Oryzias latipes: one gene and its partner. The protein of the gene in region 1 binds, or shares a complex with, the protein of each later gene. Links are inferred from orthologs where the notes say so. Each region holds a gene or a part of one and is shown in the gene's direction. Other genes may lie near its edges.

Region 1 (5,029 bases):
CAGCAAGAGCGGGAGCTCTGGAAGCTAATCACAAAAACAACAACACACATCTCACATTTACAGCTAAAACCTTTTTCTGGCTCAACAACCCACCTGTCACCCTCTTAGCTTTGTTGTCAAGAATCCAGAAGATTTCACGTTTCCTGAAGCCTTAGGGAATCGAACCACGTCCGCCCCGCCCGCTGTGATCGTTAGCTAAATCCCCGCTAACGCGTGTACTCAATGGCTTCTTCCTGGTTTCTGGTCTCCGTTTAATTAACAAGGTAATTTGCTAGCTAGTTCTTCGACTTAAACTTTAATAAGTCACTGTATTTTATGTTTTCTTGAAGGGTCTCATCCAGAAATCTCTGCGGGAGGAATAAAAACGCACCCATACCCAACCAGGAAGTTTGATTACCCCTAGTAGATTCGCCCTGGGTATGGTCTGTCAGGAGAGAACCCGGGAAGGACTTCCTGTAAACTGACCAATCAGATTATGGTCTAAAATTAAATCCACCCCTTTGGCCAAAACGCAGGGCAATTTTTCTTCCATTTAAAATCATTTTATTTTTTTTACAAGTACTTCCAAAAAACACCCAAATAATCATATTTCTGACAATACATACTACAATACAATGCAATCAAACCACAATTTACAGATCTGAAAATTAATGATATTCCCCTAAAAGATGAAAAAAAAATGCACCAATAAATTAGTAACTCTAACCTTTAAACAAATAACTTTCTGCAACTTTAGTATAAACAATAGACGGGACTTAGAAACCACCCTAATGAACACATTTTTTTCTTTATACACAAAGTACCCACTTCCACCTAAAATGAAAGAAACGCATTTTAAAATAATATCTCAAATTTACCCTGTTGGAGATTTTTTTACATAAAAGATTCAAATTTCAATCGGAGCCATGCCTATTCTGTTAATCTGAAACTGAAACGTTAGAACATCTCTGTTACAGTTACAGATAAAAATATTTTGGACTGATATTCACAATTGGTTGTCACTCAAAGTTTTAAATATTCCCTTTTTTCCTTATCTGTTGTTATTTTCTATATGGAAAATATGGACCCAGGAATTTCTGATGTCATTAATGTTGTTATTATTTAATGCAAAAATTTCATTCATTTATGTAAATGGAAAACTACATGCCCTTTGTTTGGTATTTTTTGAATTACTTTTCTGATTATTATAAGTGTCTTAAATGCATTCCAAACAAAAACAAGAAAACTACAGTAATTTATCAAAATATATCAAACGTACTGTTATTTTGAATTGTTTTTTGCCTTGCCTTTATCATATTTTTTAAATTTTGTTTTGTTTTTTCAATATGCGCATTTATAACGATTGTTCACCCTAACTTGTTTTGTATATGTGCATTTATAAATATAAAAAAATCTGAATATAATTAAATAGAAATATATTTTAAAACTGTCTATATACTCTTTATGATATGGACAAACATAGCACAAGCATCTACATTCCTACACAGAAGAAAAAAAAGATTACTCTCAAAAATGTATTATTATTGTCATTATTTTATTATTATTATTGTTTTTGTATTATTATTATTATTATTATTATTATTATTATTATTATTATTATTATTATTATTATTATTATTATTATTAAATTTTGTGATGTTGAACAGCAGCTCCCACTTCTTCCAGGTGGTGGCGACATAGTTCCTTCATCGAGAAAACTGTAGAAGAAGAGCCTCCCGGCACCGTTTCTTCTTCTTCTGTTTGTTGAGTTAACATGGCAACAGTTAAAGTTAGCGAGGCTGAAAAGGTGTACATTCTACACGGAATAAGAGTGAGTTGTTCTAGAAATGTGTGCTCTATTAAGCTAAATGTCTGTGAAGTTGTCACACCAACCTAAAGATGTGGATGTTTGTATTCTCCTCAGGATGATTTACGTGTGGATGGAAGAAGCTGTGAGGACTACCGACACATGGAAGTGGAGACGGATGTGGTCTCAAACACTGATGGATCTGCCAGAGTCTCCCTGGTAAAATCAACATTTACGTGTGAAAGATCCGCAGAAACAGTGTCTTTATTTTCCTTCCATCGTGCTTCTCAGGGACACACCGCCGTCCTGGTTGGGATTAAAGCAGAAATAGGAAAACCAAGACCACTGGTTCCAGATGAAGGATACCTGGAGTTCTTTGTTGATTGGTAGGTTTAGTGTGCATTTAAAGCAGGTTTGGACATCAAAATGTGCACAATTTGACATTTGACAGAATTGTATTGCATCAAAACAGTAAAGAAAAACATTGAATAGCCTCTATAGTTTATTAAAATGAATAATGTTTGCATTTTTGGCTTGATATAAATATTAGAAATACCTGAACCCTAAACCGTTACATATTTGATTTCTTTTTGGCTAAGTTGGGAAGTCTCTCTTGATGTTTTTGTTGAGATCATTACATGTTCTAAAGCTTATAATGCATGTTTAAATATTTTTTGTGTTTGTTTTTGAAGTTTGAAGGATGTCTTTGTCCTGCGAAGCATTTTAAAGTAATGAGGATGTTTTAAAAATAAAGTTTATTTTGGATATCTGTTTTTGTTTAAATCATCTTGCAGGATAATAAACTCCTAAACTAATAACTGCTGGGATTAACTGTTGCACCATTGACTCAGTTTTCCCCACTTCTCTCCGCTTTCTTCTGATTCTGTAACTCCTCATTCCGATTGGCTGAACTCACCTGATCCAGGTATTCAGCTTTAAGACGTAGAGGGTGTTCATGAGGACCATGCCGGGCTGTTCTGGTTTAAGAATCGGAACCAAACTGAGTTATTGTCAATGTTTGATGTTTTTTTTTGATTCCCTGACATTTTTTTCCCCAACACCCCCAGCTCTGCCAACGCCACCCCCGAGTTTGAAGGCAGAGGAGGTGAGGAGCTAGGGATCGAGCTGAGCAACACTCTCTACAGAGTCTTCAACAACAAGAACAGCATAGACCTGAAGGGCCTCTGCATCAGTGCTGGGGAGCACTGCTGGGTTCTCTATGTAGATGTCCTGGTGAGTCTCTTTAACATAAAAATATAAACACAACATAAAAATGTTAAAAATAAAACAATAAACACAACAACAATAGACGTAAATTCAGTAATAATGCTAAATCTTATGATTTTTAAGTTTTTTAGAATTTTGGGTAAAAAATTGGGTTAAAAAAACAGGTTGAAGTAGACATTTACATGTTTTTTGTTTGTTTAGGAAAAACTTGTTGCTGCATTTAGATTTTTTTTTTAAATAAAGTTAAGCAAGTGTTTTGTTTACCTTGTATGCATTAAAAATGAAATGCTGAAGTATGTCTGCTGTGCTGCTGAGGGGTAGCAGATGGGGTCAAATCAGGTTAAAATTAAGAAAAAATAAGGTTGTAAACTTGAAAAAAGAAAAAGAAGAATGTTTTGAAATGGTGTTAAACTTGAAATTATACATTCTAAACTTGAAGAAATACAGAAAATTGGATACAAAGATTGTAGATTTAAAACTTAAACTAAAAAAACTATAAACTTACAAATGTTACCAAATAAAAAATGATCTTCATTTGTAGCAGCTGCCGTTTTATATAGTGAAGTTTTGGTTTTTTCGTTTGTTTAACTAACAAAAACATACCAGTTTCTAATAAACATTAATTTTATTTCATTTTCACTGTAGGTTTATAGTTTTTTTATTCTAGTTTCATAATTATATGCTGTTGTTTTTTTTTCTTTCTAATTTTAAGCGTCATTTCTTCATAGTTGGGTAAAATAATTAAGAGACACTGATGTAACTCCATAGTAGCACTTCAACTTGTGAAAGTATCAAGAAATATGTATTTTATTTTATTTTTTGTTCCTTAAACCCCAAATAGTCATACCGGCCTGCAGTGGATGCAGTTTGTTTTTCATGGAGGAGGTTTGTCGGACTCAAGAAACACTAAATGAGTTGAAAGGCAGCTGATGTGTAATGAGGAAGTGAGGTCTACTTAGTCAGTCAGCCAGTTAGAAGAAATGCGGCCTGAGAAGGGGCGGAGCTTCACCTCAAAGGCCTCAAATGATTTGTAAAAACCACCACTTCATAAAGGCGTTTGCATCGTCTTGTTTGCAGCTGCTGCAGTGTGACGGCAACCTGTACGACGCCATCTCTGTCGCCATCAAAGCGGCACTCTTCAACACAAAGTGTGTATCAGTTTTTCACATTTCGTCGTGTTTGGAGACGTTTTCAGCTCATCCTGTGCTCCCATCATTTCTCCCCCAGAATCCCTAGAGTCCACATGTCGTCGGACGATGAAGGCGGGAAGGAGGTGGAGCTTTCAGACGACCCGTTTGACTGCGTGAGGCTGAGCGTGGAAAATGTTCCCTGCATCGTGACGCTGTGTAAGGTGAGCCGCTGCTCGCAGGTGAAGTCCGTGGTCGTAAACGCGACGGTTTGTGAAGAGTGGCTGTCGTTGAGCAGGTGGGCCACAGACACGTAGTGGACGCGACTCTGCAGGAGAAGGCGTGCTCGGTGGCGAGCCTCATCATCGCCGTCACGCACAGGGGCACGGTGACTTGCGTCAAAAAGGTGGGCGGCGGGAGCCTGGATCCAGAGAGCATCTTCGAAATGACAGAGGTGAGAGTAGACGACCTTTCAACGACCCTGACCTTTCAGAATAAAGTTAATGTTCTTTTGTTTGTGCAGGCGGGCAAACGAGTCGGGAAAGCTCTTCACGCTCCACTCATGAAGCTGCTGCAGCAGGAAGAGAGTCTGGGAAAGAAGAGAGAAAAAGTTGGCTTTCTTGGCTGAAATAAACTTTACTGTGTACTTTCATTTTTTTTTTACATAAAGCACATTTAACATTTTCTATAAATCTTAGTCTAAGTGTATTTTTCCTTCAAAAGAAGACTATCATCCAGTCTGTGCTTCAGCTGTCCCAGACCTGCTCTATGGGCTTCAGGTCAGGGGTCATTGCTGACCACACCATATGAAGCCACACCTACTTCCCGAGGTCCAGCTTCTGGCACCATGTGGTGGAACATTATCATCTATTACCACAGGAAGTGGGTG
Region 2 (4,755 bases), on another chromosome or scaffold:
CGTCAAACCTGGCTGGATGTGGAGTTTCTGAGCCGCCAGCAGCACATGCTGCCCCGACACGGTGACCGACTCAAGAAGGGCGGACATCTCCATGTGCAACACATCATCATCCGTCTCTTGAATTTGCCTAAACAGAGAGTCACTTCGGTCTCTTGTGGATTGACAAAGGCAGATGTAATTGACTAGCAGGAATGCACATACCTGGAGGCCACTGCTGCCATGTTCTCAGTAGCTCTGGCCACAGCGTGAGCCGCTGCCTCCAGCCGGGTGAACTGCTCTGGCTCATGTTCACTGTCGCACAGCAGCACGAGGAGACAAAGGTGACTGGAGATTGGGGCAACCACTTTCTCCACTGCTGCAGTTTTGATAAAACTTTGATCCAGACATGAAGGCATAGTTTCATTTATCGGTGAATTCTTCCCTCTGCGAAAGAATTAGCTGTGCTGCATGTATTATTTATCATGCTACACAAAGTGCCATATGGCAGTTCCCCATAGCAACTGTTGTCACAACGTTATTTAGAATTAATAACATATAAATCATCATTTCTGACATTATTCATTGATTATTGACTGCAGTGGTGGTTCTGCACTAACTTACTCCCAGGGAGAGTAACTCCCCAGTGCAATTTGACGTTCTTTTGTGTTCCCTATTTTTATTTGGCCATTTTACACAAAAGATGCGTGAATTTTGTGGGCTCGTATTACGGGGGTGTCAAACTCACTCACACAGGGGGCCTAAACAGAAAACATGCTTTAAGTTGGGGGCCCAACAACATTTATTTACCAAACTAAAGCTACACTTTAAAAAACAAAACAAAAAATACTTTTAAACCTTTATAACAGAGGTTTTTTAACATAAAAATGAATAAAAACAGACAGTATTGTTAATCCAGAATAAATCAAGTTAAACCGTTAATAACGGTGCTCTCCATAAAAATATATTCAGTCAAAATTATACAAATATGAACATGCTGCAGAACAAAATAAACAAAGTCTGGAAATATTTAATTCAAATTATTCCGTTTTATTTGCTGTTTTGTCAAATTTTTTGTCAGCAAGTAAGTTCATTTCTGCTTGCTGTGTGACGTGCTGTGTGTGTCTTTGTGAAACGTATCAAAGGGATTTGATTTTTTTTTAAACTGCTATTATGAAAACCATTTATAGGTCTTATAAAACATTAAAAACTAAATCATATAACTCCTCACTGGAATTAATCAAAGTTTATTTTGGCATTTTCCTAATTTTGTGCAACACCAACAGTAAAAATTCTCCAAAAAGCCTTAATTCATTCATTAACAAATGATCCATTGTTTATGTCTAATCTCAAAAAGTGCAGCTGTTTTACTGCCTGCATTACCTGCTGTCTTTATGTCAAATACTGACACCAATTAAATGACAGGCATACGTAAAAAATACATTTTATATGGAAAATAAAGACACGTAATAAAAGTGTCCAACAACAACAATAGCAATAATCATAATAATAATAATAATAATGTTAATAATATATTTTTTAAACTACTTACTTTGTTGTTGACTTTCTGACTGTTTTTTATTGAACACAAAATTTAAAACACAACATTGGTTTTGATGCAGAGCCCCTTCGCGTCGGTAAATAGATGACGTCATCGTCCAGCGACGCATCCCCTTCCGTGTTGGCAACGTGATGGAGGTTTCTGCTCCTTCAAATGTTTCTCTCCGAGAGTTTGGCTGCGAGCAGAGTTTACTTTCTCGGCCGGATGGATCTGCGTCTTTCGTTCAAGGTAACAGCTGAAGGAAAATGTTGACTTTTTTCTTTAAGAATATGAGTACAACTCCCGATTCCGCCCAAAGAATTATGGACAAACTTATTATTTCAGAGAAATAATTTGACTCTCGACTGCTGGCAAACGATCTTTAAATGAGTTTTAAGCTAAGAATGTCCTAAAGTACTTTTTGTATTTGCTTTATTTTGGTTTTGCATTAGTTTTAGCTCTTGGTAAATGTTGTAAAATTGTTAATATTCAAGAACAAAAATGAGCAGCTAAATAATAACTAAATATTTTTACGAACTTATCTTTTCACATTTAGTTTTTTGTAATCAAAAGTCAACTGCTGTTAAACCATTAAGAAGCCAAACATTTGAAAAATAATTTCTAGTCATTTTTCTATAAATAAAGATGTTGAAATGTTGGATTCATCTGTTTTACTTTCTGTGTTCAGATCAGCTCTCTCAAATTTAAATATTTATTTCTTGGTTTACTCATCCTCTTTTTTTCATTCCCCAAATCATCTTTGAATATTTGTATCCTAGTGGTCATTGTGAACTGTTTACATCGCCGGCATCGGACTGTATAGTCTGGGGTCTTGGAGCAACATTTTTTCAAAGATTTTCTAATAATTTCCCTATAAAAGTTTTTTTTTGGGGTAATGCTTTAAATTATTTTTTTAATATGACCCCATCTTCTTTTTTATTCTTTTTTTTCAAGATATTGTTTAATATAGTGTATGGGATAGGCTCCAGCAGGCCTGTGACCCTGAAAGAGACAAAACGGGTTTAGAAGATGAATGAATTATATACTATGTAATAATTCTACAGTAAACCTGAAACTGAACCAAAACCACCACTCTAAGCAGCAGATTTGGTCATGCATTTACTGCAAGATTTACACTGTTTTTATGTTTTATAGCCAAGATCAAAGTTTACAGACACAATAAGAATGTAGAAATCACATCATTGTTTCAGGTTTGTCCTCTATTTTAATAGAACTTTGATCTTTGTGTTGTTTTTGTGTCTCTGGAGGGGACACGAGTGTGATGGCTGGAGTTTATGGACCTGCTGAAGTAAAGGTCAGTAAGGAGATCTACGACCGAGCAACTCTGGAGGTGCTGGTTCAGCCCAAAGTTGGTCTGCCGAGTAAGTTCTGCTGCATGTCCTGGAAAAGTCAGATGCTGTCACGTGTGTCTGGTTTTTCTGAAACCAATTCAATCCTTTTTGTTTTTAATCTGTTGTAGAAAAAAAGCAAAAACAACTACTAATCCTTGTTTTTGTTGCTCTAAAATGAATAAATCCAGCTTTAAAGAAGGAAGTCTGTTAAATGTAGAGACAATTATAATCACTTTCAATGGATTCAAATGTTTATATGCAAATATCCTCTTAAGCCTGGTTTCATTCATGTCTTTGGGTTGAATGGAAATCACAGATGCTGTTTTATTTCTACTGAATCACAGTAAAAAGATGAACTTCCTCAGGTCTCATGTGGGTTTTAGTTTCATCTGAAGGCTCACTCGTATCTCAACAGTTCTGCAATTTATAAATAAGCATTAAGACAAAGGTCCGATCAAGGTATTAAAGTCTTTCTTTAGGAATGTTTTGTGCAACTGATTTATAGGATTACGCCATAAGGGGGAGCCAGTGGATTCCTTATCAGCTTTGAACTCATATCCCATCATGCCTCTGTTTTCCAGGTGTGAGGGAGCGCTCGCAGGAGCAGTGTGTGCGTGAAACCTGCGAGGAGGCGCTGCTGCTCACCCTCCACCCTCGATCTTCGCTCACGCTGGTCCTCCAGGTGCTGCACGACGACGGCTCTGTATCCTTTACTAAACCCGACCTCTGAACCCGCGGGGGGCGTGGCCTAGCACCTGCCGAGTCGTCTTCCTTACCTGCTCTGCAGCTCCTGTCCTGCTGCCTGAATGCAGCCTGCATGGCCCTCATGGACGCAGGTCTGCCGATGAGCTGCCTCTTCTGCGGCGTGACCTGCGCCATCAGCGCATACGGGCAGATCATCACTGACCCCACCTCAGCTCAGGAAAAGGTCAACCAAAGATGCTGACACTAACCTGAAAATCTTCATTTTTGCTGCTTTGAATGTAGAAATATAATCAGAAAGCAAGTTTAACAAAAAGTTCTCAATTTATGGTTTAATTTTCATGAAAAAAAGTCACATTTCATAGAATCCCTAAAACATGGATGTCGGTTTTCATCAGATCACACCCCTGACCTAACTTTACTGGTGAAACAAAAATCCAGCTGTGTAGTTTAGATCCAGATTCCAGCTCAGGGGAGGATAAACAAATTTAAAGGCTAATAAAAATTCTAACTTTGCTAAAAAAAAATGGGTTCATTTTCCACCAAAACTATTTTTTTTTTATTTCATAAAAATGCAGTTTTTCTTTAGTGTGTCACCTTCAGTTCATCCTTTTGTCTCAGTGTTTCAGTTCTAAAACAGTTTGCCTTTAAAATTGGTTGTCTGCCCGTCTGGCACTAAAGTCCTATTTTAATTTCTTTTCAAAGGAGAGTCGAGCTTTGATGACTTTTGCCATCGACAGTAAAGAACGTAAAGTAATGATGTCATCCACCAAAGGATCCTTTTCCGTTCATGAGGTCCGTCCAGCCGTTTTTCCATCATCTTCCGCTAAGCTCTCATTTCAATCCTCTCAGATGTTTCTTGTCTTTCTTCTGCTGGTTGCAGCTGCAGCAGTGTGTAGCGGTCAGCCAGAGAGCCTCAGAGAGGATCTTCCAGTTCTACAGAGACTCTGTGAGGCGGCGTTACTCCAAATCCCTCTGATGGAGACACACTTTTGCCCGTTTTGTTCTACATTTTTGTACAACTCCTGATGTAATAAATGTTATCATCCACACCACTGCCTGTCTGGTTTAGTTTTGACAAAACAAAGTGTATGAAGTCACTCACTACTCACTCCACTATATTTGGCGTTTGCTATTTTCTCTGGGTGTCCATCGATTATATATGATATCTGGACTGAGTCTGAG

The links. The genes of interacting proteins can lie anywhere in the genome.
Region 2: exosc7 (region 1) and exosc5 share a complex: the UniProt entries of both Homo sapiens proteins name them as parts of the RNA exosome core complex. The link is inferred for Oryzias latipes from reciprocal best matches to the Homo sapiens genes EXOSC7 and EXOSC5.

Annotation. Positions count from the first base shown.
Region 1 is NC_019869.2:5,727,330-5,732,358, reverse strand, and holds exosc7 (exosome complex component RRP42), read left to right. Parts: upstream 1-1,671; 5' UTR 1,672-1,753; coding exon 1,754-1,810; intron 1,811-1,903; coding exon 1,904-2,005; intron 2,006-2,077; coding exon 2,078-2,172; intron 2,173-2,853; coding exon 2,854-3,019; intron 3,020-4,090; coding exon 4,091-4,161; intron 4,162-4,240; coding exon 4,241-4,364; intron 4,365-4,438; coding exon 4,439-4,594; intron 4,595-4,663; coding exon 4,664-4,768; 3' UTR 4,769-4,832; downstream 4,833-5,029. UniProt on the Homo sapiens protein: Non-catalytic component of the RNA exosome complex which has 3'->5' exoribonuclease activity and participates in a multitude of cellular RNA processing and degradation events.
Region 2 is NC_019873.2:26,312,465-26,317,219, reverse strand, and holds exosc5 (exosome complex component RRP46), read left to right. Parts: upstream 1-1,622; 5' UTR 1,623-1,668; coding exon 1,669-1,765; intron 1,766-2,784; coding exon 2,785-2,898; intron 2,899-3,449; coding exon 3,450-3,571; intron 3,572-3,655; coding exon 3,656-3,796; intron 3,797-4,275; coding exon 4,276-4,365; intron 4,366-4,453; coding exon 4,454-4,549; 3' UTR 4,550-4,625; downstream 4,626-4,755. Other genes in the region: catenin alpha-1-like, read right to left, coding at 1-127, 202-395. UniProt on the Homo sapiens protein: Non-catalytic component of the RNA exosome complex which has 3'->5' exoribonuclease activity and participates in a multitude of cellular RNA processing and degradation events.